Kluyveromyces lactis: one gene and its partners. The protein of the gene in region 4 interacts with the protein of the main gene of each other region in a pairwise test. Links are inferred from orthologs where the notes say so. Each region holds a gene or a part of one and is shown on either strand. Other genes may lie near its edges. The genes, in order: RVS167, BBC1, SLA1, APP1, SSN8, NBP2 and AIM2.

Region 1 (4,169 bases), on a different chromosome or scaffold from region 4:
ATCCCTGATGTGCCAATTTACGGTTCGTTTCCAATATTCAAAATACGTCTGACACCTGTGAACAATGTAAACTTGAATGCCGGTACCAATGGTAAAAGATATTGGATCCTTACACTTTAAACCGACTTTGCTCCTCTGTTCGCAACTGCTATTATTAATTTTTTTTCTTTTTTTGGTAACCTAAATATAAAAGCTCCAGTCAGCGCAGTTACGTTACTATCACTCTCTCTATGCGTCTCTATTTGGTTCCTTCTCACACTTTAGTCTCTGAATATGATAATGCAGCCAGTTTATATCTCTTGGTGATGTGCTTTACTAGTCCTTCTTTCTCAATATATCAGTTCCTCAGTTTCTGTTATTTGGCCCTTTAAAAACGTTCGAAAATCAGAAAGAGAACCAGTACTGGAAAATAAAGAAGAAAAAAAAAATGGGATTCCAAGGAAATATAAAAATCAGAAAATTAGAACCCTGGAGCTACAATACTAGATAAAGAGCACTAGTACTGAGATAATAACTTGGCTAAAATACGGTCTCGGCTATGTTTTGCCAGGCTCTTTCTCTTATCTTTAATACTTACTTCTGCTTTTCTTGTCCTAAAACTTTCCGTTTCATTCTCGCGTTTCCTAAGATTGGCTATCTTTATTATGTTTGAAACTAAATAAAGTTCATCAATGAAAAATGAGCCAAAAACTGAAAAAGGATCGAGAGGGCTTCTAGAAAGAGACGTGCAAGGAGGAAGTGGGATAGTGATATCCAAAGTATTTTGAAGGGAGGGGGCTTTCAGGCTCTGGTTGTGTGCACTGCAGTGGGAGCAGTTGTGATGGTGGGAGCTAATTGTTGCATTGAAATACATAGCTGGTTTTAAGTATATATAGAGACGTATCTCTTTCTGTTCCTGCAGTAAGGCTTAGTGTACTTTCTCATGGAATTCTTTTCCATCTTACCTGCTGTGTGCTTGGAAACCAGTGTGATTTTAGTGGCTGGCTCTGCTACTGGTGATGTGTAGAAATATAGGGGCATGTAGACAGGGGTTCTGACGAACCCCTTTCGTCTCCATGAAGCAATGTCTGACTATTGCCAGGTGACCAAATATCGTCAATTCCGTCGATAGTGATGTGCATTCTGTATCCTTTAAAAGCTATGGGGCATTCTTGAATTAAACAAGGTTAGAGTATATAGTAACTACAGGCTAGGAGAGCTTTTCTTTTGCTTTATTATTTTTTTCAAGTTCAGTCTATACACAGCAGAAAGGGAATGGAAAGTGACCAAGAGATTAGTTTTCTTTTGTTTTCATTATTGTTTCGATAGTTCGACGTAGTTCCCAGGGAATACACCTTGGACGCCATTGTAGACACCGACCCACCATCCTGCTGCATCGGAACGATCCACGACTTGGATTATGGCACCAGCAGGGAACGTCAAATCACCTTCGGCTTGGGCCGTGTAATCGTATAAAGCGGTACATGTCTCCACTCCTGCACTAGTGGGAGGAGTGTATGATGCCTGGGTCGCAGTGGTGGGCACCGAATTGTATCCTGCGATACCAGCGGCACCTGCAACACCTCCGATTGGATACTGTTGTTGCTGTTGCGGCTGTTGTAGTTTTGAGTCATAGCCCATCTGTTGTGGCTGTTCAGGCTGACCGTATGTTTGGCCGTATGCGGGTGGGCTCATTGGACTTCCAGGACTTGAGTCGTCAGTAGCACCATATCTTCTTCTGGTTAAATCTAGTTTGGCCTTCGAGTATCCCAGCTTGAAATGAGTAATGGTTAGTGCATCTGTTTGCTCTTCAATGTTGCCTCTTTTAGCTTGGAATGCCTCCAAGATGTCAGTATCCAGGTCAAAGTATGGGATCTTCATGTCTTGGAACCTGTTGTATAAGGTGTAGAAGATATTCAATTGCATGTAGTAGAATGAAACAAATAATGGTTTCACGAACTCTGATTCCAATTGGAAAAGTATAGGTAATTCAGTTTTCAACATATCGTTGTAGTAGTCGTATTCTTGTTGCATTACGGCGACTTGAGCCTCGGCTTTATATTTTTTCTCCTCATCCTTTGGCGTTGGATTCTGTTTTTGTTCATATTTGTTGTACGTGTTCAAGCTCCTATCCAAATCTAGCTTTTTATGGTTTCTCTTGGTGGACATCTTTCTAATGTAATTAATAATGTTCAAAAGCTCTTGTGCTGGTTTAACAATTTTCTCGTCAATCAGAGTTAGATCAGGCTTTAAAGTAGCTTGCAACTCAGAAACAATTGCACTGTACTGCTCACTCGCTTCAATACCTTCTGGATTGTCTTCTGGCACAGCGGCATTGGGATCGGACATCTTACCACTAATTGGCTTGAAAATTTCCGACATTGCCTTAGAAAATCCAATTTGATGCTCTAGCATACCGTTCACGGCATTGAAATATCTCTTTGACTCATCGCTCAACTTCTTCGTTTCCGATTCCAATTCCTTGAAACGACGATCAGCATCCTCATAAACAGGATCAACAGTCTGCTGACCCATGTTCAGTTTTTGCCTAAAAGACTGGGGTGCTCTGGCGACAGCTTTTGTAAAACCTTTGAACGACATGACTCTCTAGGGGGAAAATATATTGATTGTTATTTGCTTTCTTATTCGCTGTATACGCTCTAAACTTCAAAACTTAACGCTTTTTATCTGTTTAAATTCACGTTCTTCGTGTTTTTTATTTGAGTGCTCTCTCTCTTTGCCCTTATAATAAATTAACTTTCTTTCCCTCGACAAAGACGCTTGTTTGTCCTTCGAAAGATTAATTTAAGTTCAGATTTGCTCTAACAGACAACTCGTTGACACGCTGATTAGATATATATACCGCTTCAGTTGCCTTTCAAGTTTGCCCCTTTTACATGCCCTTCCAAAGTGATGAAATTGAAATTGTCCAAAGTTTGAATTTTTTTGAAATTGTATTGTGCATCGGCAAAAGCGTACAGAAAGGAAAAAGGCTTGGCTTAGTTCATCGGAAATTGGCCCAATGCATTTGAGCAGTAGGCTTGTGAAAAGTTAAGGGGATGGTCTATACTGTTATTAACGCCCATTGGTTCTCCTATTGGTTGTAATTTGAGTGCGTATCACTCAAATATGCTGCAAGCTTGACCTTGTTTTTTTTTAGGCCTGCTGACTCTAGGCTAATAGTCAATGTACCCTTCGGTTGAGAATAGTTGTGGAGCAAGGTACATAAAGTGCAGCAAGATTCTTGGTAGGATATAAGTTAGGTATATTTTTACATAACGGTTGTTTCGTTATGGATATTACAAGTAGTTTCGAGAAGTTACTGTCATTGGAGATGTTGTTTGTCCTCTTTTCATTTTAATGTCTTAATATAGTAAATGACACTTTAAATTACCGAATGGGATTTAAACCATTTTCTGACTCCAAGGCTCGAACAAAGATTTACAAACTTTAAACACTTGCTGTAATATCCCACCGATCTGTTCATAGAGCGGCGTTCTTACAATCCGTTGGACAGCAAAATCCAGCATATATTCTCTTAACCTGGTACCGTATTATGGTGGACGATATTGTACGATCTTCCTCACCGCAGCGAGATAGCAGTGTCGAAGATGTGTATTCGGATTTGTACTCCACTTTCTCTCAGATGACCACCACCACTGCAAATGATATTGAACAACGACCATACCCATTCACATGGAGGACGGGTATTATGTTTGTTAGTTCGACAATTGGTGGGATGCTTTTCGGTTACGATACTGGTGTAATTTCTGGGGTTTTAATAGCAATGAATCCAAAGGATTTAAACTTTCATAGTTTGGAAATTTGGCAAAAGGAAATAATCACTTCTATAACATGTGCTGGTTCATTCATAGGATCGATAATAGCATTCCCCTTGGCTGACAGATGCGGTAGGAAACACACGTTAACGGTTTGTTGCATCATTTTTGCTGCCTCATCGATGCTAATGGCAGTTTCTTACACTTTCGAGATGTTAGTCACCGGTAGGCTGGTCGTTGGTATAGCCGTTGGCATCGCAGCTCAATGCATTCCAATATATTTAACGGAAATTTCACCGGCAAAGATAAGAGGCACCATGCTTACGTTAAACTCTATAAGTATCACTGGCGGGCAATTTGCGGCGTATGTCATTGCATATTTCATGATTGACAATGACCACCCTCAATCAA
Region 2 (5,310 bases), on a different chromosome or scaffold from region 4:
AGTAAGGACGACTCTGATTCAAAAACTCTTGGAACATCTGTCAATGAAGCAGATGCCATTGCAGCAGCATCATATCAACCACAAGACGTCGAAGGTGTATCGAACCCGGTAGAAGAAGAAGAAGACGACGACGAATTCGGAGAACCACAGAGTAGTTCTGCTGAGCCTGTTGTAAGAGGGAAGTCCGAGGCTTTGGAAAACTGGAAAGCTAGACGTGAGCTTGAAATTTCTGAAAGAGATCAAGCTGAAGATAAGGCCAAGGCAGACTTACAAGAGGAAGCTGCAAAACATATTGATGATTTCTATGAAAACTATAACATTAAGAAGCAACAGGGAATTGATCAAACTCAAAAAGAAGCTGAAGAATTCCTTGCTAAGACTCATGCTTTTGCCTCTCAAGATTTGACTGTTTGGGACAAAGCTCTTCAGTTGATCAACTTGGAGGATGCTGACATTGTAGATGGCAGAGATAGATCCAAATTCAAGGAAATCCTACAAAGGTTGAAGGGAAATGGATCCGCTCCAGGCGCCACTGGTCAAAAATAAGTGCTCTTAACGTTAGAAACGTACGAATCGTGATATATATATATATACGTATGTATACGGGATCTGTGTATAGATCAACATATGCGTAACATTTATATACACACCGACACGAAAAGACTCTAATTAGAAAAGGAACACACGCATATTGATACAAATCAAACTAGGAACAAATCAGTCTGTTTATTAGGCAATTGGGTTCCTGGTTAGATATGAGAGACTAAGGGCAGCGAAAATGATTGGTTTTTGATAATGTGGTATCCTACCAAGTTCTTGAGATAACGTTGATCTCCCCAAGTATTTGAGTAGCTCCCAGTTAATATCTAAATGTTGTGGGTCGCTCAGCAAAGTGAATGACAACATGATGATGATCGATTTATGTAATGGCTTTAGACATTTGGAATGTTGACCGTTGAAGATTAACATCACCACCTGTCTCCAGAGCGTCCATTTTACACATTTGATAAAATTGTCACTGAAGAAATAACCATACACTCGTTCTTTGACCGACCCGCTTGATTTCTTATCGGATAACTCATTTAACTCTTCTAACCTTTGCATGAGTATCCTTGTCATTGAACCATGTTGTGTCTGAGATTCCTTTGCCTCTGAATCGAACGTCATTGAGGAAGTATTCACTTTATTCTTCTTAAGCTTCTCTTTCAAAAGGATGGATTTCACATTCTTATAAGTCTTGACGACATTCCATGCGACAAATAACAAAAGGAAGTCCTTCCAAGGTTTTCTAGTCTCGAATAATATCCTGTATAATCTCCCCTTCGATTGATTTCTGTGGTATAGGATTGGTATCAAGAGACTAGCTGCCAATTGCCTGAGAAGAATCCAACGGCGTTCGCTTATACTGGAATAATCAACCCAGAGCTTGATTTGATCTACAACAGATTCTACAGCCCAGTATGAAACAATCCAATGCGGTAGCTTAGCCTTGAGCTGCGAGAGACCAATCGTTAAACCCAGGAACCAGCTGGCATGTCTTTGACGAATTATCCTTCTCAGTAACGGTATAGCAACAACGATAGGCAAACCATCGAATAATGAACTGGCCGTTAACTTCCGGTGCTTTTTTAACAATGCTATAAACCCATTAACACCAATAACTCCAACGATGCGACGATACAAAGCGTTTCTATCAATTTCCGAATCATAGTCGTACGCTAAAAATCGAATGAATCTCGCCAAACGAGTATTCGAATTCAATGTCATGCCTTATCCAATCAGTCATAAGTTCTGCAACCCTCACCTGCTGATTGAACGTTCATATATGCCTTTCAATTGACGTGAAGTCTATCATTCGTTCGTTATCTACCTTTCGGTGAAATCTAATCCTTTAAAATTGTTTGGAAAAATGTTACTAAAGCCTTTGAAATTAAAACGATTCCTTATATCGCGAACTTTTCACCACCCCTTTAACAAAGAACACTCGGCGAGTGAAATAAAAGGACCAGCTTACTAGAAGAACAGTTCTCGAAACTAGATTACGTGTTAAAGATGTCTGTGCCATTTAAGGTCGAGGCATTGTTTCCATACACCTCAGATTTTGAGGATGATTTACCATTTTCCAAAGGTCAGATCATTACGGTGCTTGAAATAGAAGACGATGAGTGGTTCTTTGGTGAGTTTAAGGATGCTGATGGTAAAACAAAGCAAGGTATTTTCCCCAAAGGTTTTGTTAGTGAACCTTTGAAGGAAACTGCTAGTGAGCCTGCTCAAGAGAAGCAGCCAGAGGAGAAACCAAATGTGGAAACTCCGGTCAAGATTCCGGAAACACAGACTGTCAATCCAAATGCTGCAGCTGCAACTGCACCAGTCCAGAAGGGAAAGGTTTCTCAGGATAATGTCAGACAGTTGAGAAATAGTCTGTCGTTTCAAGAAGGTTCTGGTGATACTGAGAGGAGTGGTTTTGTTAATAGCGATGATTTGGTAAAGGAGGCTAAGTCGGAATCTAAAATGTCCTTGCAGCAAAGGATATCCATGTTACAGCATATGCAGAAACAACAACAGGAACAGGCGGAAACTTTGCATAAGCGGAAAAAAAGTATTTCTAGTGTGTCGTCCCCAACCGGCAGCGTTGCTACTGCTAGTGCAACTTCTCCAGTTAATATTGAAAAAAGGGAAAGTTATGATGCCTCTGTTATTGAAGATTCCGATGCTGAAAATCCAGAAGTTGATGTCAGTACTTCTAGCATTCACACAGCTCCACCAATTCCTAATGATACTGCTTCAATTGGCTCTCACCCTCAGCGTACCTACTCTATTCCTGAGGAGTCAGTTAACGAGAATGACGATCGTGATGATAATGATGAAAATGAATCTTCTGAAGACGAAAATGAAGAGGAACAAAGACGTGCTGCTTTAAGAGAAAAGATGGCAAGACTAGCAAATGCAAGTAGATACGGTATGCCTAATGCGTACTTCAACCCATTTGGAATGCCAATGCCTTCTGCTGACTCTTCGAAGACCCCAACCAAAAGCAAGAAACCAAAGGAAGAATCTGAAAGTCCAACTGAAACGTCATCTCTTCCAACAGCGGTTCCTGTCATGCCATTTGCCGACCCATCGATGCTGCCAATGTTTAGGAAGAAGACTGAAGAAATTGCTGTGGAAACTTCTGGTCATGCCGAAACCCCAGAAAATCAAGCTGACGAAGAAAGCGAATCTAGCTTTGTAGATGGAGTCGATGATGCTCAACCTGCTATTACAGGTTCGGTGAATTACGACAAAGACCCAGACTTCCAACATAAAGATGAAGTACCCGAGGGAAGTCAAGGCCTTTCTGGATATGAATCCGAAGATGAAACTACTAAGAAAGTGGAAGATGAAGAAGAGGAGGCTCCGTCGCCAACTGTTCCTCAAAGAATTAGGCCCACTCATGTTTATACAATTGATACTTCTCCGGGATCCCCACAAACTCCACAAACTCCACAAGCTACTAACGCCCCACAAAAATTGCCCGCAGCCCCTCCAATTCCATCTGCTCCTTCCGTCCCGCCAATTCCAACAGGTGCACCAATTCCTCCTGTTCCTTCAAGCGTACCTGTACCACCATTACCAACAAAGGCTCCAGCACCAGTTTTAAGCGTTAAAACCGAAAACACTGAGCAGAAACTGCCAACAAAACAGCCCGCTGCTGCCCCTGCTCCTCCAGTACCAAGCAGTGGCGGCCCTCCACCATTGCCTCCTTCTAATGCACCGCAACGAAGACCTTCAATTCAGACTATTCCAGGTGCAGCAAACTCATCACCAGCCACTCCTTCATCTGCTGCTCCACAAATTCCGGCCAGTTTCCAGCCATTAAGACGGACAACTACGGCGAAATTTGAACCAGGTACTATTCCAGAATTAGAGTTCTCAAAGCAAAGTACTTGGTGGTTAACTAAGACAGTTCAGGCTGATACTGTTAAACCAAGCAAAGTAAAATACATCTGGGAATCTCAGGATCACATAGTTGAAAGAAGGAATACAAATAAGTTGGTTGTCAGAGATTTCCAGTTCTTGTTCGAAGATTACTCTCAAATTCAAGCATATGTTGTATATGATCCAAAGAATCCAATTGAGACAGCAATTTCCCATCAGGACTATATTCCCTCCTCATCACAAAGTACTGGTAGTGATCTGTTAATCAAAACAATTTACGAAAACAGTAACAAATGTGTTGGTAAAGCTTGTCATTCATTTATTCCTCAAATATTGGGTCCAATAGATAATCTAGTCCCACCAATTGCTCAAAGAACTTACGGTATCACCGTTTTTGAACATGCTTATAACACCGCAATAGATGAAGCTGCGCTAGGAAAATTGGTACCAGGTTTGATACTTGTTGCAAGAAACGCTGAATTTACCTTTGACGATGGTTTAACGTACAGCTTGGGAATAGAAACGCCGTTTGTGGCCATTCTAAAATCTGTGGATCTTGAAACTCAATCTTTATCAGTGATTGAAGAGCTTGGTGGTGAGTGCAAAGTATCTATGTATCCACTTGAAAACTTGACTAAAGGAAAGTTAAAGGTGGCCAAGCCAGTACATCGCAAGGACATTGGTTGGTAAGAATGATACAAGGAAGTAAAACAAATTGACCTCTTGAAGAACAAATGCAAGAACACATATGCTGCTATTTGAATAAATATATAGTATATACAATATTGATTGAGAAGGATACTAAAAAAGTTAAATACATGAATAAAGAAACAACTCAAAACTTGATGTTAAGCTTGTTTCTCATTTTCGAACTTCGCCCAGTAGGGATAATCTGTTTCAAACTCCAAATCCAAACCTTTGTATCTCCAAGCATGTAGATATAGCTCTAACGATTCTGGAGTTGGATCTTTTGGCATTTCTTCGTCGCATTCAGGACATCGTTCTTGATTTTCATTCAATTGATCCCAGACATCATCCAGTTCAACCTCGAACCGCTTCCGTAGCTTTTCGATTCTTTCGTTTGTTAGTTGAGTCCAATCTGGGGTCTCAATAATAAACCTTGACCGTAATGGGTACGTTGAGTTATCAAGGTTATAAAACGGATCGTTTGTAATGGGGTGTCCCTGTCTTGCCAAATGGATACGAATTTGATGTGTTCTTCCCGTGAAAGGTTTGCATAATACAATTGATTGATCAGTTACGGCATCGTATTCCATTAATTCAAACTCAGTATGTGCGTCTTTCAAAGGGGATAATGGCTCTGATTTAATTTTCAAGTCACAGGTATAGATTGGGGATTTATCAACTGCAGTTTCAGGAAATTTTCCTTTT
Region 3 (5,285 bases), on a different chromosome or scaffold from region 4:
CCTCCTTGGTTATTGAATGATGTTTGAGGTGCTGTATTCATACCTCCGGTTCTTTGTAAATTGATACCAAATGACGATTGTGGCTGGAATCCACCAGTCGTAGTTTGAGATAAACCAAATGAAGTTTGTGGTAGGTTGCTATTGAACGGTTGTTGAACATTAGCACCACCAGTTAATTGATTGCCGAAGGAGAGCTGAGATTGTTGAAGAAGAGCGCCGCCAGTAAGTTGATTTCCGAGGCTTGGTTGGTTTTGCAAATTGATACCACCTGTAAATTGATTACCAAACGTTGTCTGGGGTTGTATGTTCATTTGATTGCCGGTAAATAGATTCCCAGAATTGAAGTTTGGCTGGATGTTCGCTCCACCTGTGAATTGGTTCCCAAAGGTAGTAGCCGGCTGTATATTCGCACCTCCTGTGAATTGGTTTCCGAAAGTGGTAGCAGGTTGTAGATTAGCACCTCCAGTAAATTGGTTTCCAAAAGTGGTGGAAGGCAGCAAATTAGCACCTCCAGTTAATTGATTACCAAATGTGTTAGTTGATTGCAATGGCATTGCACCGGGCATTTGCGTGTTGAAGGAAGTAGGAGGTAAGGCACCACCAGTCCTTTGTAAAGGCATTGCGCCTCCTGTGATACTTGAACCAAAGGTTGTAGCGGGGAATGCTGTTTGGGGTTGTACACCAAACGTCGTTTGTGGCATCAACCCTCCAGTGTTCGCTGGTATCAAACCGTTCGCAGTCTTTTGAACTGGCAAGACAGTACCTGTTGGTTGCATACCAAACGTTGTTTGAGGTGCAATCATACCTCCAGTCCTTTGCAGAGGTACTAGCCCCCCAGTCGGTTGGAATGGCATTAAACCGCCTGTTGCTACTGGCATCATAATGAATCCCCCTGTAGTAATAGGGATTAGATTATTACCACCAGTTTTGAATGGATCTAATGGAACCAAAGAAGTACCCGTCTTATTTGCTGACAGAGGGGTTTCTTCCTTTTTATTCGAACCGTTAGTGGTGACAGATTCTAGATGCTTGACATCTGGAGCTGGTGTTTCTTTCTTCTTCGGCTCTAAAGGTTGCAAATCAAGCAAATCTTGAAGTGACCCAGAGAAATCCTGAGCCTTGTTGGAGCTGTCGCTGGCTTTAGCAGCAGGTCTAACAGTCCATGCATCATCATCTCTATTCGATGAATTACTATCTGGTAATAGATTATGAGATACGCCTGCAGATGCGGGAGCACCTGTATGGTTAACCTTCAAGGATCCATCGGCTTCAGTAAACAATCCAGTTGATGGAGAAGCCTCCTTTGTTCTGCCAAACTTGTTATCTAGATACTTCATTACTCTTAAAATGTCACCTTCACGTAGACCTAAGTTTCTTAATAAAGAAGGCTCGATATCTGGCAAGATTTCTTCACTAATTTGCTCTCTTTCGAAATTAATGGTGTAGCGTTGACAATTGTTGACATCAACACCAGCATTCAAGAAAAATTCGAACCAATCGTATTCGGGATTCTTGGAGCTCTTTGTGACAGGGTGCGTTTTGCTTGCTTCACTGCCTGGTCTTGGTGGTTTCACAGGTGGCAGTTCTTTGTCTTGTGCACTCCTCAGCTTTTCTCTTTCGCTTTCCAAGAGATCTCTAGCCCTCTTTAACTCTTTAAGTTCTTGCTCTCTTAATTGTCTATCACGTTCTCTTTCTTCAAGTTCCCGTTCACGCTCCTTAGCCTTTCTTCTTCTTTCACGTTCTGCGTTTACTGCACTACTGTCATTATTTGAACTCTTGGGTTTATGTTTGAATTTCTCCATAGACATACCCGTCAATCTTTCCACATACAAAATATCATCTTCGGACAATTTGTCTGCAGCAACAGCAATTTTCACACCGTTCACCTTATGTAAGTTAACCTTCCCATCGACACAGCCCAAAAACTGTGCTTCAACTTTGAAAGTACCACTTCTGTCTACCCAAATTCTAACCTTTTTAGGATCAGGGAACTCTTTATCATCAGTTTTCTTCTTCTTGGAGAAAAAGCTCGAAGTTTTAGACTTTTTCTTCGATACATCTTGATCAGCATCCTCTTTCCAGCTGCCAACTAAATTTTGAGTAAAGTTAGAAGTGTTAGATCTGGATCTGGTCTTAGACTTACTCCTAGAAGGGCTTTCATCAGAAGGCCTTGATGAGCCTGATCCGCGTGTTTCGACAAATTGTGCGGGGACAATGCCTCTTTTACCTGTTTCTACAGATTCACACATATACCAGTCTTTCGAAGTCCTGTCATCTAAGATATTAATGTAGTCGCCTTCTTTAACGGTGAGTTCATCAGGAGAGTTAGCGAAAAAGTCATATACAGCTTTAGCTCTTTTCTTGGTCATGGCAGGCCTTGAAGCAGCTTCAACTTCACGTAACCCAACTGCTGTCTGGGCACCTTTAATCTCACCCAAGACGCCCATGATCTCGTTAGCCAGATCGTTAGAGCCAGTATGCAATTCCAAGTTAATGTAAGGGTTTTTAAATTCAAGAAATAGATGCTTTTTTTCATTGTTATAGTTGATCAAATCTTTAACTGCCCATTCTTGATCCACTTTTGTCTTTGCAGAGAAGAAATGAATACGTTCAGCAGAAACAGTCAACGTAGCTTTACATTTCTTACGACCATCAACCTCACTAACAGACCAAACATGTTCAGCGGTCGAGGCTGAAGGTCTTCCATTTCTAGATGGCAGTGGAGGTTGATCTTCCTCATCGTCATCGAAATCGTAATCACGCTCATCATCTGAATAATCTCTAGTTATTTGGGAAGTTCTATTATTGTCTCTTGGGTCATCACGATAACTTGTTTGGTGTTCAGTATTAGAAGGTCTTTGAGGCATTGCTGGAGGTTCTGCTACTGCTGACTCACGCTGGACTTCTGTGGTTGCCGTATCGTTTCTCTTTGGAGGTGGAGGGAGCAGTGAAACATCAACTGGCATAGTTGTATGAGACGCAACGCCTGCATTTGATGCTGGTGGTGGTGTCGATGTAGATGGAGCTCCTGGAGCATCTGCTGTACTTGCAGCGCCAGCAGGGGTAGATCCGCTTCTGAATGATGGTTGAGAATTGACTCTGTCCAACCTCTGAGGTGGAGCTGGAAGTTCAGAAAGGGGTAGAACAGCTGGGGCTTGGTGCTTAGACTGTGTAACTCCTGCAGCGGGACCTCCAGCTTGCTGCGATTGTTTTTCCACGTAATTACCTGGCACAAACCCAACCTCTGAATTCTTGGTATTCTTCACCAAGAACCAATCTGCATCCCTATCGTCATACAATTGGAACGTATCGTTTTCATGGAATACCAATTCCTCATTGGCATTCTGAACTTGTTCATAATCGTAAAGCGCAACTACACTCCCAATCACTGGAGCCTCTTCAATATATGTCTTGGGGACCAAACCTACGGGTTCATCCTGATCAGATCCGATAACTCTCTTCTTAACGGTCCACCAATCATCAATGCTAGATTTTTCTAAAAGATACAATAGATCACCCTCTTTGACAGTTAGTTCCTCATCTGTTTGCGCAGAATAATCGTAAAGCGCCTGGTAAACACCCAAAAACACCGTCATTGTAGGTATTTAAATGCGTCAGGAGCCAAGTAAAAGGACCTATAAGCTTCCAGATTGTATACAAGGCCAAGAGGATCCCTATACAAATCGCCAATCAAATTTAATTATCCAAACTAAATTGAAATCAAAAACTAAAAGAATGCAGGAATACGAGACACTTCCTTTTTGTCGTCTCTTTTCGGTATTATGCTATTTCCTTTTATTTCTCCGTTTTGATTGGTTTTTTTTTTTCTCTTTTGCACAATTGCAATGCAACTCGCGCACTCTATCTAAACCTCAAGAGTTTGTCTGGCCTTTCTAACCCAATTCAAGCTAAAACTTGTTTATACGAATTACTTATATATGTATAGACATATATATATTTATATATGTTCTAAGTATATTGATAGACTTATTCAATTATTTTGGGCCTAATCTTTTCTCATTTTCTGATTCTCTCATTTTCACTCAGAAAAAGAACAAATGAAAATACCGACAGCACGCAGCACCGGTTCCTGGCAGTGTGGTACAAGAACCTGCAGTTTTCGAATTGTTTTTCTGTGATCCTTTGGTTACCCGGGGTTGTGTTTCGTACATGATGATACGGTGATCCCGGATCTGGAAATAAAAAGGGGTTCTTGCCCAGTTCTAGTCATGTGACTGCGAATCGCAGAGATCTGATAGAAAGAAGAAAAAAAAGAGATCATTTCTATATCACGTGATTGATGTTTCAATTCCATCATGGGTTCAAGTATCGTTATTGTCATCATCATAGAAGTCATAAATAGAGCATATATACTGTTTAGGCGAACGGAGGTTAAGTTTATTTACTCGCTCTCATACGATCTAGCTCTTTGTCAACACGAGCTTGTAGATTCTTCTTAAGTTCAGGCATGAACCCTAAAATAAATAGTAATTCGTAAAGGATGAAGTATGGCGCTAGCACAAGACTTTGCACCAAGTTATCGAGAAGCGCAGGTTTGCGCTTCTCGAAAACACCGTGGCCAATGAACTGGAAGATCCAACTGATCACAAATAATATCCAGGCAGTGGTCTGTGTCATCTTAATAGTCCCGTCGTTCAAAAATTTGCACGTCAGTGCCAATATCAACGACGCAAGGATTCCGGTACCTACTCGTAACAGTATATAGAACAACCCAAATGACAACGCTAACAAATGAGTCAAGGTATAGCCATTCCAGATCTTAACGTCGTTCAATATACGCATGGATGTAAAGAGAATCGTTGGGACAAAAATGCTATGAATTAACACATTCCCAGTATTGTTATGATAAGCTTTGTAGAACGCTAGTTGCGTCTCTAGATCTAGAAGACTGGGACTCATTCTGAGACTTGGTAGCGCAAAACCGTAACACGGATGCTTTGCTTGTGTTTTTTGATGTTGCTGTTTTTTTTCTTATTGATTGCATTATCTCAGTTGTCTTCCCCTTCCTTAATATTTCATTTCAATTTTAACTCTAATTTCAACTTTTAAATAATTTTGGTGGCAAACACATCAACGCACTACAGTTACCTTTACCAAGATATACGAAGAACCTGGCAACTCATTGATCTTCCTGTAACTACTGAATCTCAATCGTCAATTGGGAATCCCTATAACCACATATCCTATGTCTGCTGCAGGTTACGATCGTCACATTACTATTTTCTCTCCAGAAGGTCGTCTTTACCAAGTCGAGTATGCCTTCA
Region 4 (4,830 bases):
GTGAAAGATGCCACCAAAGAAGAAGCAGCAGCAACAGCCTGCTAAGAAGAAGGACAATGTTGACAAAACGTTCGGTATGAAGAACAAGAATAAATCCACCAAGGTGCAAAAATTCATCAAGCAAGTTCAATCACAGCAGGATCCTGCAAAGGAAGAAATGAAACGGAAGAAGTTGGAAGAAAAGAAGATGAGAGAGGCTGCAGAGGCAGAAAGAAGAGCTTTATTCAATCCGGTACTGGACCAGAAGGTGAAAGCTGGTGTGGATCCTAAAACTGTGCTCTGTGCGTTATTCAAGATTGGTAATTGTAACAAAGGTGCACGCTGTAAGTTCTCGCATGATATGAATGTCGGACGTAGAGTGGAGAAGAGAGATTTGTATCAGGACACAAGAAGTGAAAAGGAAGAAGATACTATGGACAATTGGGATGAAGCTAAGTTGAGAAGTGTGATTTTGTCCAAGCATGGTAATCCTAGAACAACCACTGAAAAGGTTTGTAAATATTTCATCGAAGCTGTCGAAAACGGTAAGTACGGGTGGTTTTGGATTTGTCCTAACGGCGGTGATAAATGTATGTACAAGCACTCCTTACCGGAAGGATTCGTATTAAAGACTAAAGAACAGAAGAGGTTAGAAATGGAGGCCTTTGAGAAGAAGCCAAAGATCACTTTGGAAGAATTCATCGAAACCGAAAGGGAACGCTTGGATAAGAGAAATTTGACACCAATTACAATGGACAACTTTGCTGAATGGAAGAAGAACCACAGAATTGAAAGGCTCAATCTAGAAAAAGAGAATAACTTGAAGAAAAAACCTAGTGGACGTGAAGTCGTGCTGAAGAAATATACAGAAGACAAGAGATTTGATCTCGTCGATGAAACTGATTCCACGAACGGTTCAGCGTGGGATTTGACCGAGTTCACAAAAGCATTAAGAGATGAAGATAGTAATGGATCTAGTGGAATCAAAGATTATGGTGATGGTAGTAATCCTACTTTTGAACTGCCTAGCAGAGATGGCCCATCTAAACAAAGCACTACACTTACTGCCTGAGAAAAAGGACAGCACTTGCATACACGCTGTATATTTCAATGGTTGGTTGTCTTCATTTCAAAAATTCTCTTTGTCATTCATACATAAATATTTTGTCATTAAATATAGTTAATACTCAATTTGCAAAGAGAAATATATATGTTCTAACTTATCATTTTCCAGTTTCCTATCATAATGAATCAATTTTATTTATGCTATCTTCCAAGCACAAAATGGGATCATTGAAAAACATGAAGCTAGCTTTAACGTCGTTTTCTTTTAACTTTTTTACAGCAACTTTAACTCTTTCATTCCAACTTTCAGCCTTTTTATCAAAGAACTCAGAATATGTTCCATAATCATTCTGCGAGGATGGAATTGAATATACAGCGTTGTCCATACTGCGCATCTTTAGTCTTGTTGGTTTTCTAGGAGGTAAAGGTGGTTGTGTGCCAGACGATTTAGATTCAGAAATTTCACGCTGAAGAGCATCACTCAAAACTGGCTTCTTTTTTAGAACCTGTGGAGGCTTTTTTTTGACAGGCTGTTTTTTATCCGTTTTAGCTGGGGCAACATCTGAATCTGAATCTGAGTCAAATTGGATTAAATCGGGGATATCATCTTCTTCCTTTATCTGGTCTAAATAAAACTTTTTAATATGATCATTTAAAGCTTTCATAACTCTTACGTCATTTTCAGATTCATCACTCATTGAATTCTTGCAACATCTGATGTATATTCCAATAATCTGTTTTGGAAATTGACTCGCAGCCGATACGTAAGCTTCGAGGTCTTGCTCACCGGAATCACCTACCAGAATGAACTTTTTGTTCGGGAAATCATTGCATATTTTCAATATTGATGCAAGCTTTCTCTGTGCACTGGATTTCATAATACTTGAGAGTAAGTTACCAGAATACTGTTTGAGGAACATGGGTCCTAACGGATAGTTTTCACCAATATATTCCGATAATATTGGGTATATCTGAGCAGGGGCATTTGATACATAAAAGAAATCAACTGCTTTGCTATCTTTTAATGTCGTATACCATAATGGCATATCTTGAATTTTCCATTGTTCAAATCCGTTGACAAAAACGTTCAAAAAGATCGATCTTTTATCTCCAACAATACCTGTGTGTTTTATTGTATCATCTATGTCACTAATAAGTCCAACTCCACTGTTTTCGACATAAAAAATCTGGCAATCTTGGACTAGCCCGGTTTCCAAGCATTTAACTTTTGCACCAGCTGGTTTAAATTCGGTACTGAGTAAAATATTAAACCCACCAGAGTTATCAGAGACCGTTATTTGATCCATCTTATCATTTGATCCGTTATACAGCGTAGTTAGAAGGTTGACGTTCGGGAGATGTTTATTCATGAACCCCGCTATTCTTTGCCTTAAAACTTGTTCCTGTGTCAAGGGAGCAACCCCATCTCCCATTGACAGTTGACCTGAGCTTGTGGATGATGACGTCGTAGATGAACTGTCCAACGAGATATTAGAATCGTTTTGCAAAGATTCTAATCTTTGTTCAACGTTAGGTGGAGGATCGTTTCTTAAAAACTGTTTGCAAATAGACAAAAGAATACTGTTTCTTTTGCTTCGTTGACCGGTAGAATATATCAACCCTCTTAATTCTGTGACATAGATACTATCCGATAGTTTTCTTGAGTATGATGGGTAACAAAGCAGCTTAGGTGGGAACATTTGAAACTCTAAAGCCCTTGCCTCTGCAGGTGACATGTCATTCCCGTAATAGTTCTTCAAAGAGTTTTTGGCAGCATTGAAGTACGAATCCTTGGTGTGCTTCACCATATTATAGATTCGCTGTCTCCTACCATACGGCACGTTAGCACCCCATGAGGATCCATCAGCAGCTAAAGACGGGTCCATAGATATCTTTAATTTCGATTTCAACGCTTTAAGAGTTCTCTTTCTACGCAGTTTCTTATAAATCGAGACAGATCTTCTCTGATCTTTGAAAACACTATTCAACGGCAACAAAACGGCAAATATTTTAAATACGGTGGGTTTCCAACGTTTGTGTATTGAGTTGTGACTTGTAAGACCCTTTTAAACAGTTCGCCTGTAACTGTCCACTGATAAACGATCCGAGTCAATAATCACAATTAAAAAACCAGGAGAAGAAAACAGAGATCAAAGGAAAGATAATAATTTATCCCTTAACCGAATGCAGAAAATATGATTATTTCATTCAAAGGCACTTATTGAAGCGTGTTAGACCTTGTTAAATACAGTAATTTCAAGGCAAAAACCAAAATGCGTCTCTATATCATGTCTTCATCTGCATGTTCTTTTTGTATAAAGCCTGGATACTAAACCTTTATAAAACCTTAAAAAAATAATAATAAAGATTCCACATCCCAATAGTCCCAACAAAAAAACAAGCAACAAGAAAGAAAATGAAAAATCAAGTTTTGCTGAAATACTGCAACAACTGGAATATGACTTCCTTGAACCGTATGTGCTGCACTTCATAAGTATAATTAAACAAGAATATAACCTGCATGTAAAATTCGGGTCACGTGAAACACGTGACCCGTATTTTCTACCACTCGAATGAAAATATTCTTCCAGCTTATATAAGCGTTGATTATCTTCCGATCCCCACGCTACCTTCTTAGAGATTTCAGCGTGGGCAAACACAACGGTCGCAGATTCCCGATCCCACATTAAAGTATGGGTCACAAAATGGCTCAGCTCTTCCAGCCCTTCCCTTTTCTCATCACGCTACATGGGATGCATTAGGAAACCGGTAGCTCATAGAGATTAATGATACCATCAGCTGCGCAATCATTCAGCAACACCGGCTTTTAGTTTATGTAATTCATGAAACTAGGTTGATGCAAAACTACTTTTTTTTAGTTATCTCCTCTCCTCGTAGTCATATTGAAAAATGCCTGCAAAATGCTTTTTAAGCGATGAGTTATCAGAGATCACGATAATATAAAGATAGTTGTATTTCTATAAATTGGTTTGGAAAGCGAAAGGAACAAGGTGTTGGTGAGAACGCTTTTTAGGGCTTCACATTGTACAGCGCCTACTTCTTCTGTTTTCTTTTTGATTATCTTTTTGGCATATAAGAGTAACATATTTGCTTTGCACATAAGCCAAGAATTAGAGCGAACTTCCTAAACAGGTACTCCAATTTGCTTCGATAAAGATCTAAATAGGTTGGTTTTTCCGTGGCACAACGTTACTGAAATTCCTCTACTGATCGACAGTATTTGAATCCTAGAATACACTATTTATAAAAAGACCAGGTTGTCTTACAAACGAGAGAGGAAACACTTGGATTAGCATATAACACCACGGGAGATATTCACTCGAATAATAATCTCGAAGTTATTAAAGATATTAAAAGTTACATGAATTATAGATTGCATAAAACTTGCAGCACGATATGGGGTTGACTGTAGGAGAAGCGATCTGGGCTTCAGTGAAGCCTATTATTAAGATTTATATGATTATAGCGACTGGGTTTGGTTTGGCTAAGGGGAATATCCTTACCGTCGCAGCAACCCGGACATGCTCAGATATCGTTCTAACGGTCTTACTACCGTCGCTATCATTTAACAAAATCGTTTCAAGTATTGATTATAGGGATGCCAAGGATGTCGGTATCATTTGTTTGACGGCAGTCATGATATTTGGTACAGGGCTTTTCTTTGCATTTGTAGTTAGGAAAGTGCTTCCCGTACCGAAAAAATGGCGTGGTGGTATATTAGCCGGTGGGACATTCCCAAATATCAGTGATTTACCAATCGCTATA
Region 5 (3,968 bases), on a different chromosome or scaffold from region 4:
ATTGCCAGAGTTGATAATAGTGATGCAAATATCAACACTCTTGGCAAACAAAAAAAAATTCCCGAGATGGTATCCTAACTAATATACAATGCGGGAACCTCACAGAATAATGAAATGACAGACACTCTGCTTCTGCTTCACTAAACTTTTGGACTCGCTTTCTTTTGAACTTGTGCTTCCACTTTTCCTACTTCTACTCTTTATAAATACACGTTAACATTGTTAGTTAAGATTTGATTTCGAGTTTCATGTTTAACTCTCGAAATCATATTGCCGTTCGTTCACTTTTTTTTTTCTTTTCTGCGCATGAATAGCTCTAGATTATTTGGCAGATATCGCTTCGCCAAAGATATTTTTGGTGTTAAAGAGAAATAGAAGTTGCAAATGCAGCTCTTGGAGTGAGGCTTCTACTTGTCCTCTAGTTGACTGTGATTGCGAACTAAATTTTTTTTGTGCGTACAATGTGTATATTTCTCAGTGTCTGCATTTCTGTGATTCTTCCGTGAGTTGTCCAATATAATTTCATTTCGTTCTTATGCGATATATCCTTGATGCGTGGTTGATCTTGAATGCTACGTAATTTGTTATGTATGTACAGGTGTGAACTGAACGAAATCTTTTCGGCTTCAGAATCACTGAATTGCTGGTGTTTGTTGACGGAGGTATAACTCGTGTAGGAGCGCTCTGATCCGCAGTTCATTGTATTTGTCCCAATGGTCGTATAGTGATATGAGTTCTTGAAGGATAAACATCACTTGTTCCAAATTAACTTGAGTTTCAGCGATGAACATGTTGATGTTAGCACGCTTTGTACTGTCCTCTGGCTTGTGAATGATGCAAGACACTGCAAATAGACAACTTATGGCGATCACGTGCGGTGAATAGAGTAAATGGACATCGGTCGTATAACTATCGTTAATCAACGACCATATTTTCTGAAGCTCATCGTCTGAGAGTTTATAGTTGTACTTTTCGGATGATAATGCCTTCTCGATCTGTTCTAGAGACCGGTACGGATGGTGTACAATCAAATATGATTGCAATTCCTCGATTAAATAAAACTCAAACTCGGTCACTTTTGTCACATCCGGTGGAATAAACTCTGGCCATAGAGACCTCGCCTCGTTGACTAGCGTTCTTATATGCTGCGGACATTCTTCCACTTTGCAAGCCAAATAGATGCAGGTGGTGATTAAAAGATACAGGTTCACTTCCCTGACACTAGCTCGAAGCAAAAATCGGCTCAAATAAACATGTGCTGTAACAAGTGCACACTGCCGTATATTGAGCCTCCTGCCCAACTTCATTATAAGGAAATAGCAGTATATCCTCAAATTGTAGTCTCGATCATAATGCAGATCTCGCTGTGTAACCGGAATGTTTGTCGTCACCTGCTTGTTCGCCTTCGAATCGTGAATCGTAACATTCAAACCTTGTGGGAATAATTGGCATTCCAACAGCCAGAGTTTCTGCTTCTCCTTAGCCAAGGATTCCCTAGTATACTTCCACTTGTGCCTCTGACTCGAATCCCAGTATGAGGCGCTCATTTTGGAAAGATAATCTTCTAGCTGTTCAATGAATAAGGGGGGGAAAGGTATTTTTTATCCTCCAGTGAAATTTGTACTGCCTTTTGTTGTCGGAATCCTTTGTTCAAAGTACCTAACCCGATTCGGTTCTTACTACCTTACCGTTCGCTATTCTTCAATTCATCATCAAGTACATTATGATAAGCTGACCGTTGCAGCCCTAAATTTCAGGTCGTTAAGAAGTCGGGTAACCTTTTTGAAAATTTTTTGGAAAAAAGTTAAACATTCAACTATATGAACCAAACATCAGCACTTCAAACACTTACTTTTAATTAAATGTTTTCTAGTGTTGTCTTTTGTTGTTGTTTGTTTCGTAAGTCGAGGGTTTTGTAGTCGAAGAATCGTCACTGATCGAAGCTTACATAAGGAACGGATTTTATCTGTTCAATTGAAATGATATCATTTCTATAGCTTTGGGTAGAAAGTCTCCGACCAGTCCGTAAGCGGAAACGTAATGAGATTTAAAAACTTTTCAAATGTTTAAATCAACTCATTAATCGTGTTGGTTTTCTGTCACGGTTTCTATCCAGAGGCTGTTTTAGAAGCCTCTGTGTCTTGGGTACTGAAGTATTTCTTTACTTTAAACGAAAGTTATGACGATTGCCCGAGCGTTTTTATCTCTTTTTTTGTTACTTCTGTTTACAGGGGTGATTAGGGAGGAGGTAGCTTGGGTAACCCAATGGAGCTTACTTTCTCGGCTCACGAAACTCTCCATCCTTTTTTCAATCATCAAACAGCTTGAAGTGGATTCGTTTCAAATTTATTTTGAACTTTTCGATACTTACGCATAGTCAAATATGCCAAGCTGCCCTGATTATTTATTATTGTATCATTTATTGCCTTGGATTATACTCAGTTGAGTATCCTCTCATATCAAGTGCTACAAGGAAGAATTTCAAAAGATCCAGCCGTCATCTTTCCCTCTTCATTTTAGGATTTTTAACGTGATGAAATAACAATGCAACATAGAGTCAAGCTCTGAGCTTATATAGCATGGACGAGACTTGCTTTTTACAAACGTACTGATCAAATTTCCTTGATGATAAAGAAGAGTTATTGACTGCGGTCTAGAGTAGTACTGTATGTATCTTCTCTGTTTTGATTTTTTCTTGAACGCTGTTAGCACCGCACCATCTAGTATGAGTCCGGCTAACCATTTGCTATGAGTTGTAAACATGTGTAGTACTAGAATCATCTACTTGTTAGTGTGGTTTTCCCATCGAGTAAGTATCTCTTGTATTTCTTTGCTTTCCATTTACGGAACTACTACCTACCATTTCTATCTATCAGCTGAACTACATAACGTGGCACAAAAAGTGATCTTCCTATCCATATCTAACTTTGTCTCAAGCTGCTCACCTCTAATGTTACATAGCTATCTTCTATTTCTGCCCTGGAGTAAAAGAGGCTTTTTATTTCTGATCGTGAACTGATCATCAGATGGTTTTCTACTTGTTACTACCCATAAGTTCTAATGCATAAATCAACATGGTTGAATAAATGTTGCACCAATTCCAAAAGGACCATGAATCAACCACGATCTTTGGCTCTGTTTCGTATGGGAAACATCCCCATATACAGAGATCATTTTTCAATTGACCGCTATACCGTAGAATCAAATGCGTGTACATTGCAATAATGATGCATGGTGAATACCAGTACACAAAATTCATTATTCTTCTGAAACTTCTACGTTCTTTTGTATTTCTCTGCAATGTCGGTATAATACGTGTTGCACTGTAAAATATCAGTAGTCTGAACACTAAATTTATTACAACTGCTGGTATTAGACTTTCTTTGGCCATCTTGAATGTCACAACGAATATTTCTTGGATACTTATCGGTACGCTTTTAGTGAAATTCTTCACTGAGTTCCACAAAGGATTTAGAATCCATTTACATTGGTCCATCATTTTAATATATTTATGGTTCCGAGGCGTGTGTTCTACTATCTGACTCCAGATGGCGCGATAATTTTTAGTCATGAGTTCCAAAAGATTATCCTTCTTGGGCAAATTAGCCTGATGGATTTTCCATGTTTCCTTAACGATATCGAATATTTCGTCCATGGCATTCATCGCCATCTTAGGACTTATTTCGTAAACATTGCGAACCATATAAGCAAAAAACAACGAGCTTTCCATCACTGACCCTGATCCGTTTATACCATATAATCCGATACCACAAACAATTGAGAATGTGAACCCAAGTAGTGAAGCACTTGGTGTGGAGAGTTCCCACATTGGAGTGACATATATTCTGTAAAAGTAAAATAGTGATAGCGTAATAATTCCCCCACTGATCAACAAACTCAGAATAACCCATTGATTACTTCTTCTAGACATCTTGAGCCATCTCTCTGTCTCCCCTATGGCTTGAATG
Region 6 (3,564 bases), on a different chromosome or scaffold from region 4:
GTTTCAATCCAAGATTCCGGAAGTGGTTCCTAAAGTTCTTCGACTACCTTTATGGGATAAAGACGGTTATGTGGAGGACGATTTATTCTCAGTTGATCAGCATCTATATTTGGTTCAAATGAAATTTGTTCCCAACTTAGCGGACGTTTCTCACAAGGTTAATGTTTCTCCTTTGGAAGTTTGGTTCACCTTGGATGAAAATAACAACGCTGATACTTCGACCGTCAGATGCATCCACACTTATTCGGATAATTCAGCTTGTATCCAAACTCCTACACTTTCTCATGACTTTAAAATCACAGTGACAGATACAGTGGATGCACTTCCAGAAGATTTGGAATCTTCAGAGTTTTTCGATTGGCTACAGAGGGAACAACCAAGCTTCAGGAAATTCTTACAGGAAAGTAATTTCTCTTTCGGAGGCTTGAAGAAGCCCCGCATTGCTCCTTCTTTTGAATTGAACGTGAAATTAGAAGGAATGGAAGAACCGCAAAAGATCAGATACAATTATTTGCATCGCTACGAACACCGTTTATTAAGATTCAAGTACAAAGAAGATTGTTTGGTACAACTCTCTGAAATTGAAGGCGGAAGCTTAGGAGGCAAAGCTTCATCTATTGATTTTATCAGCACTAACGGATCCATCAACAAGGACATCGTTAGAAATTTCATCGATGACGTTTTACAATTCTGAAATCATTCGAAATATTTTGGTCCTTAATGCATATATGTATAATTATACAAAGTCATCCTGTAAATAGTGCGGAAGAACAGATATATAGACTTCATTTAAGTTTTTGACGTACACCTGTCGATTGATTCTCCATAATAGAAAAATATTTAACATAAACTATTTTACATGCTTTCGTATAAATTCCTTATGATATTCGCTTTGAGTAATATTATTGACATATTTTCCCTTCCCATTTGAATTATGTTCAGATATACTTGCCGATTGATTGACTGTACCTTTACGTCCAAATACAGTGTTAGATCTCCAACCACCATGCTTTTGCGGTTTCGTCACTTCTTCATTTTGAGCTGCTGTGATTTCAGCACGCTGTTCTCTCAGTTTTTTGTCCAATCTTTCTTGCTTAACTTTATTCCACTCCTCTAATAGCGCTTCTTCATCTTCACTCTCCTCCTCCTCTTCCTCGTACTCATCGCTACTATCCGTGGCCTGTATCTCTTCATCTTTCGAGCATTCCTCTGCTCCAGTTATTTTGATTCTTTTCTTAGCCTCCTCACTCGGAGTACTTTCTACTTTACGATTCAACACCCTCTTCTTCGTGTTTCTATACTTAACCTCTTTGTGCCCCGGTAAAAGTCTAGCGTGCTGCGTCGAAGTAGGAATGTATTCTATATTCTTTGCCCCATTCCTGGCCTCTAGTTGAGGTCTGTGCGATGTAGTCATTTCAGAACACAGTCAATATTATATTCAATCTGTAGCACTCCACTGAAACTAACGTAAGCTTATCTACCATCCCAGGTACCAGTTAAATTAGCTCACCTGTTTTGCCTGTGAACAATCTCGTGAATGTGCGTTGATGTTCAATCTTTATAGCCTTGATATGAAAAAATAGCAATCTGAAACTTCAAATGCGAATCTACGTTAACAATTACCGTGTACCAAAGAAATAAGAACTACGAACGTCGTACTGGCAACTACATATAGCAAGCTACATTTCATACCAAACTTTTCTAAGAGGACATAGGACTTTATCATTTAATCATTTCCCGTGGAGCATTCGTTCACACTAGAAATATAGAACTGAACACATATTGAATGAGGCTTTGAACTTAGATCAAAGACGGTGAGATTTACTAATAACATCAGAAGACATAACTATCATAATGTCAGAATATGAGGTTGACCAAGAGGACGATATGGTTGGGTACATATCGATAAAAGATTACGCATATGACGAATCAAATCCGTTACATTTTGGTTATTTTGAAGAAGATGATGAAGATCAGAACAACCTTCGATTGAGTGGGAACAGAGAAAGTGTGTTACTACCAGATGATTATATCGTTAATAAGAGAGCCATAGCGATGTATGCTTTTGTCCCAGAAAATGATAACGAGTTGGAGTTGAAAGAAGGAGATGTCGTATATATAAGTTACAAGCATGGCCAAGGGTGGTTAGTGGCAGAAAATCACGATAGATCCAAGACAGGATTGGTACCGGAAGAGTATGTGCAGTTGATTGAAGACGATGGCGAAGACAACGGTAGGTATGAGAATCCTAGGCCGTTTTATCTTACTCAAATGATAACGCAGAGCATGTCTAATTATCACGATGATGATTGGGAAGACATAGAAGATGACGAGGAAGCTGAAGGACATAGTGATAAAGAGCACAGAAGTATACAGCGACCCAGTCAAGATTCAGTATCAGTTGATATAACGAACAACAATGGTGTTTCTCATGATAATAGAACTGTTCTTGAAAACGGAAAAACAGGCAGTACGTTAAATGAAAAGAGCGACGTATCAGAACTCGCGAAAGATATCAAGGAGAAATTGGATCTATAGCATTCTGTTTTCTGCGCTAAATATCTATATATTAGCTGCAATATTAATTAAATACTTTTCTAGTAATACGTTACAATAAAAGTCCCGTTAAGATGAAATGAAAGAATTGATCAAAAGCAGTTTAACATGAAGCCCGTGCCTGCATTCTTAGATCATTCAAGCTCGTTGATTTCGATTTCATCAATTTCTGTAACTTCCTCTCCACGTTTGAGTTTCATTAGTTCTGTTATATCAAGAGCACCACCAATTTCATTCAACAAGCCATGGACTCCTTGGATTATTTCCTTGGCCATTTCATCGTCGGACTCCGCATTTTCACTGAACTTAGAAGCAAAGCTCAAAGAAACACGCGCCTCGTAAATAATGTCCTTCAATGACTCATTCTTGATATCCAAAGGTAATTCTTGGACGTGGGAATTGAATTCGTAGATATTTTCAGGAGATAGTTGTAATGATTGGTTTTGTTGTTTAAACTGTTCTAATTTAGCCATCAAATAATATGTGAACCCTTCCAAGTAATAGCTCTCCAAATTGTCTTCGTCAATATCTTTGATCGCTGCTACTATTTGTAAACTTATCTCGTATAATCCCATTTCAATACACATTTTTGCTAACGAGATTGCTGGTTGTAGTAATTCAAGATATTCTGCATGGCTGGAAACGCTTTCCTCCGTTAATTGTTCTTCAATGGACTCTTTTTTCATTTGGAAGAATTCCCAGGCTTTTGTGAATGCTTCCGAAGCTTCACCGAATTTTTGTTGAGAAATCTTAATGGAACCTAGCACTGACCAAACCTCCGATGACTTACCTTCTGAAATTTCCATTGCCTTTGAAATTAACTCTTCGCATTCTGATTCTGCCTCCTTTTCCATACAAAGATCAGTCATCCATATTTCTATCATCGCAAGTAGCCCATTGACCATCATGTTTGCTTGTTCTTGAGAAAGAGAATCTCCGGCGATAGCTGATACGTTTTCAATCCCTTTCATAATGATAGAAATTCCATCTGGTCCACCCGTAATCTGA
Region 7 (3,848 bases), on a different chromosome or scaffold from region 4:
TATTGTATGGCGTCGTGAGGGTGATCATAAGAGGGAGAGAATCTACACGTTTATACAAAACCCCAGCATACATGCTCTATGGTGATGCTCCGTTCTTGAATAGATTCGGTTTCTTGTACGTTCAATTCAAGGCTGAAATGTACTGGTGGTTGATGCCATTATTAGCATACATGTTCTTCAGATCTTTGTTTGTTGCCGTACTTCAAGAACACGGGAAACCTCAAGCAATGATCATTTTCGTTATAGAATTGGCATATTTCATTGCATTATGTTGGTTAAGACCTTACTTGGATAAACGTACCAATGCGTTCAATATCGTGATTCATGCGGTCAACTTGTTCAATTCTATCTTATTTTTATTCTTCTCGAACTTGTTCAGACAACCTACTGTGGTTTCCAGTGTTATGGCAGTCATACTATTTGTCGTGAACGCTATTTTTGCACTATTCCTCATGATCTTCACTATTGTTACGTGTGTGTTGGCCTTGGTTCACAAGAACCCAGATGCTCGTTACCAACCAATGAAGGATGATCGTGTTTCTTTCATTCCAAAGGTTCAAACAAAGGGTGAAACAGGAGAATTGTTCGATTTGGGTAGAGCTGCTATGCACACTAACGAACCACCTTTAAAAGACGAATTTGAAATGAAACAATCAAATAATTCTGCAAGATTATTGTTTGATGAAGATATCGACGACTCTAATACCACATACGATACTTCATCTCGTATTAGAAGATTTGACTCTTCGAGCGGAAACGAACCATTGCAGCCAAGTTCTGCCGTCATGGGGGACAATACCACGAGTTATAACCGTGTTCCAACAGCTCCAAGCACTACAAATTTAAGGAAACCGGAAAACTCCTTCTCTGCTAACACACAATATCAAGGTTTCTCTGGTAGCAACCCATATTTGAACGAAAACCCAAGCTACAACAGTTTTACCAGACAAACGAATAATAAATCTGACAATGTACCGTATTTGTAAGCTCTTACACATACACTCTGGTATTCAAGAACGCGAGCAATTGTATAATAATTCCAAGACAAGAAATCATTAAGAATTAAGATGTATATACATTCTATGAACATCTGCACCTTTTTGCATTCTTCCTCCCACATGTGGTTGCGCATATTAGCCATCGGAGAAACAAACAATTAAGGAAGCAATGAATAGTTGAACTAAATATACATATGTAAACTTACAACGTAACTTTAACATTCAAAAATCAAAGGAAAATGTAGTTACATCCTGCAAAAGCTAACAGATATATAGTTAAGCTTTTCAGATGCAATTGAAGAAGAATTTGAAGAATGAAATTTGGTCTTCGATGGTTTTGTCTTGAGCATATCTCACTGCTGGAATGCTTAAGTCACCTCTGACAGCAAACCCATGGGAAACACCGCCAAATACATTGATTTGGTAGTAGCTGCCTTGTTTTTTTAAAGCTTCTTCGGTCTTATATCTTAATTCTTCAGGGAAGATGTTATCAGTTTCAGCTGCAGAAATCAGCACTGGCTTTTTACCAACTGCTTCCACTTCTTCGATCTCAACGAATGATGGGTGAGCAAGGGCAGCTGCATCAGCCAAACCGACTTTTTCATTGATTTGTAATAAAGCGTATTTGGCACCGAAACAGTGACCGATAACACCAATCTTCTTTGGGTTAGTGTCCTCCTTCAACTTGGTCAAGAAATCTTGGACTAGACCGTGGGTCTTTTCGGCGCTGTGCCTTTCTAGCCAAGACTTGAAATCGAAAGAGCCGTCCAAAGCTACGACTTCATCGTTAAACAAAAAATCTGGTACATAGACTCTGAACCCAGCTGCAGCCAATTGATCAGCGATTAGCAAAACGTTGTTAACCTTAATACCGTAAATATCTGTTACAATGACCAAAACATGTTCATTCTTCAAGGATTCGGGCCCAGCCACATAGGTCTCGAACCCATAAAGACTAGTAGTGGTACCAGCTGGGGTACCTTCATGATAAAAACCTTGAGCGCAGCACTTACCTGGAGGATTGGAAGCCATTTCTTTTCGTTGTACTTCTTGTTGGGCAATTCAAGTATTAGATACGAGCACTCTTGAGCATTCACATCCAACAGGTATACTGAATGCTTCTCATGACTTTTTCCTAAATCCAGTAAAAAGTTCTTCCCTTTATATACATATAACGTTCTTAAAAATAGGAATTACTCCGCAAGCAAGATTTGTTCCGGCAGTTATGGTTGATAACATGAAGACACGCGCACGGAAAAACGATAGGACTTGAAGGTTGGATTACTAGTTTATAAATCAAAATAGCTAGCGTGAGCTTACTAATTGAAACGTTAGCTCCGTGTCGATAAGAAGGTTTCAATCGAAATTCGTTGTTCTCTACCATTCAAACGATACAATTTTCAGTTTCGAACTCGAAGGCAAATGTTCGGTTCATAATAATAAAGCTAGTGTCAAAAAAGAAAAATTAATGGGTGAATAAAAATCTTATAAAGACCTTACACATCTCAACACTACTCTGCAAACTGTAAAACTCATCTTCTTTTACTTGATTCTTCAGATTTCGGCAAGATGGTTTTTTGACATTCAACCATTTGGAAAATCCAAAATTGATCGCATTGCCTTTATCTTGGCATTTCTATAATTGCACTGTAGAAAGTGGTTACAGAACGGTAGTGTCGACGCGTGTGGTGTCGATCTGAAATTTAGTGACACATAATCTCCATAAGCACTGCTAGTATATACTTGAGGTGCTCTTTTGTACATCCTTGACAATTGAGTGGATAATGGGCACAAATGCAACGTTGAAGGAATTGGAAAAGGAAGTAGAATATTGGAGGAATCTTGCTCTTGGCATAGAGCCTGAGCAGGATCCCGTCAGCAATGTATCCACGACTATTCGGACATCTGTTGCTAGGCTTTCGGCGACAAAGGATCTAGCTAAGACCGATGGTATACGGCTAAATTTTTATGAGTCGTTTCCTCATCTCGTCACGAAGGGTATTATTAGAGAAGATATTGGTCCATTCGCTGTCAACTATATGCTTTTTCCTGATCCATATATTTCAATATTCATCAAATTTGTTTTCCAAACTCCGTATCGTAAGACGCTGAACACTTATTTGGGGACTCCCGATTCTTATCAGGAATTTAATGTGTCATCTATACTCAAAATTCTTAAATTGAACCCATCTGCATTCGAGAAATTGAACCCTTTGAAGAAGAAGAAAGTGAGTGCTTTCATCGAACAAATACTTGCTCAAAATCAGCCAGCCTCAGAAAATTCCAACAGCGAGTTGTTTTTAGCAACTTTGAACACGATGACTGCTCCTAGATTTATTGAGGATAAATGTCTCTATGGACAATACTCTCCGATACTACTGGCTTATATTGGAAGAATACAGAATGATTTGCCTTCTTTACCCAATATTAGACTACTTTTGGATAACTTCTACCACCACATTTACCCGATATGGCCATGTATCGATATCGATCTCTTTGAAGAAAATCTTAACGAAGTGATCCACATGGATTCACATAATCCAGAGCGGATAATAGTGAATCCCGGTACCACTAATATCAAAATGAAGTTAGTGAACATCTCTATTCTTTATCTAATACTTCAACTATCCATATCACATTGGAAACTACGGCTTTTCGATCAAAGGGCTATGGAACAGGATGTTCAACATAAATACGATGGCGACAGGGCTTGGATCGAAGGGTTTGCAGAACTGGAGAAAAAATTAACATCTTCTGCCGCTGAATTAGTGTCGATATTGAACATCTATCAGTCAAGAACTGAAGAAGTTATTTCTTGGCACATGCTGCTTTGGAACATCCTTGCTCATC

Evidence for each region.
Region 1: the proteins of APP1 (region 4) and RVS167 interact in binary tests that used the Saccharomyces cerevisiae proteins (3 or more experiments, as listed by UniProt). The link is inferred for Kluyveromyces lactis from reciprocal best matches to the Saccharomyces cerevisiae genes APP1 and RVS167.
Region 2: the proteins of APP1 (region 4) and BBC1 interact in binary tests that used the Saccharomyces cerevisiae proteins (3 or more experiments, as listed by UniProt). The link is inferred for Kluyveromyces lactis from reciprocal best matches to the Saccharomyces cerevisiae genes APP1 and BBC1.
Region 3: the proteins of APP1 (region 4) and SLA1 interact in binary tests that used the Saccharomyces cerevisiae proteins (3 or more experiments, as listed by UniProt). The link is inferred for Kluyveromyces lactis from reciprocal best matches to the Saccharomyces cerevisiae genes APP1 and SLA1.
Region 5: the proteins of APP1 (region 4) and SSN8 interact in a two-hybrid assay, tested with the Saccharomyces cerevisiae proteins (2 studies listed by BioGRID). The link is inferred for Kluyveromyces lactis from reciprocal best matches to the Saccharomyces cerevisiae genes APP1 and SSN8.
Region 6: the proteins of APP1 (region 4) and NBP2 interact in a two-hybrid assay, tested with the Saccharomyces cerevisiae proteins (2 studies listed by BioGRID). The link is inferred for Kluyveromyces lactis from reciprocal best matches to the Saccharomyces cerevisiae genes APP1 and NBP2.
Region 7: the proteins of APP1 (region 4) and AIM2 interact in a two-hybrid assay, tested with the Saccharomyces cerevisiae proteins (2 studies listed by BioGRID). The link is inferred for Kluyveromyces lactis from reciprocal best matches to the Saccharomyces cerevisiae genes APP1 and AIM2.

What each region holds. Positions count from the first base shown.
Region 1 is NC_006041.1:279,954-284,122, reverse strand, and holds RVS167 (amphiphysin), read right to left. Parts: upstream 2,581-4,169; coding exon 1,294-2,580; downstream 1-1,293. Other genes in the region: CIN10 (Cin10p), read left to right, coding at 3,536-4,169. UniProt on the Saccharomyces cerevisiae protein: Component of a cytoskeletal structure that is required for the formation of endocytic vesicles at the plasma membrane level.
Region 2 is NC_006042.1:1,351,094-1,356,403, reverse strand, and holds BBC1 (Bbc1p), read left to right. Parts: upstream 1-2,052; coding exon 2,053-4,608; downstream 4,609-5,310. Other genes in the region: clathrin light chain CLC1, read left to right, coding at 1-546; PEX35 (Pex35p), read right to left, coding at 730-1,767; pseudouridine synthase PUS6, read right to left, coding at 4,767-5,310. UniProt on the Saccharomyces cerevisiae protein: Involved in the regulation of actin cytoskeleton.
Region 3 is NC_006037.1:445,192-450,476, forward strand, and holds the start of SLA1 (cytoskeletal protein-binding protein SLA1), read right to left. Parts: upstream 3,597-5,285; coding exon 1-3,596. Other genes in the region: 2-hydroxy-palmitic acid dioxygenase MPO1, read right to left, coding at 4,399-4,920; SCL1 (proteasome core particle subunit alpha 1), read left to right, coding at 5,207-5,285. UniProt on the Saccharomyces cerevisiae protein: Component of the PAN1 actin cytoskeleton-regulatory complex required for the internalization of endosomes during actin-coupled endocytosis. The complex links the site of endocytosis to the cell membrane-associated actin cytoskeleton.
Region 4 is NC_006039.1:1,165,724-1,170,553, reverse strand, and holds APP1 (phosphatidate phosphatase APP1), read right to left. Parts: upstream 2,931-4,830; coding exon 1,221-2,930; downstream 1-1,220. Other genes in the region: translation machinery-associated protein TMA46, read left to right, coding at 8-1,051; putative ATPase ECM3, read left to right, coding at 4,462-4,830. UniProt on the Saccharomyces cerevisiae protein: Mg(2+)-dependent phosphatidate (PA) phosphatase which catalyzes the dephosphorylation of PA to yield diacylglycerol. May play a role in vesicular trafficking through its PAP activity at cortical actin patches.
Region 5 is NC_006041.1:737,179-741,146, forward strand, and holds SSN8 (cyclin-dependent protein serine/threonine kinase regulator SSN8), read right to left. Parts: upstream 1,548-3,968; coding exon 633-1,547; downstream 1-632. Other genes in the region: ICE2 (Ice2p), read right to left, coding at 3,035-3,968. UniProt on the Saccharomyces cerevisiae protein: Component of the SRB8-11 complex. The SRB8-11 complex is a regulatory module of the Mediator complex which is itself involved in regulation of basal and activated RNA polymerase II-dependent transcription.
Region 6 is NC_006040.1:1,429,927-1,433,490, reverse strand, and holds NBP2 (adaptor protein NBP2), read left to right. Parts: upstream 1-1,854; coding exon 1,855-2,538; downstream 2,539-3,564. Other genes in the region: SLS1 (Sls1p), read left to right, coding at 1-694; U2-type spliceosomal complex subunit CWC15, read right to left, coding at 851-1,414; ACL4 (Acl4p), read right to left, coding at 2,691-3,564. UniProt on the Saccharomyces cerevisiae protein: Negatively regulates the high-osmolarity glycerol (HOG) pathway through its negative regulation of the HOG1 kinase activity. Mediates the binding between the PTC1 phosphatase and the PBS2 MAP/ERK kinase (MEK).
Region 7 is NC_006037.1:302,834-306,681, forward strand, and holds AIM2 (protein AIM2), read right to left. Parts: upstream 2,031-3,848; coding exon 1,284-2,030; downstream 1-1,283. Other genes in the region: flavin adenine dinucleotide transporter FLC2, read left to right, coding at 1-986; KLLA0_A03399g (fungal specific transcription factor domain-containing protein), read left to right, coding at 2,783-3,848.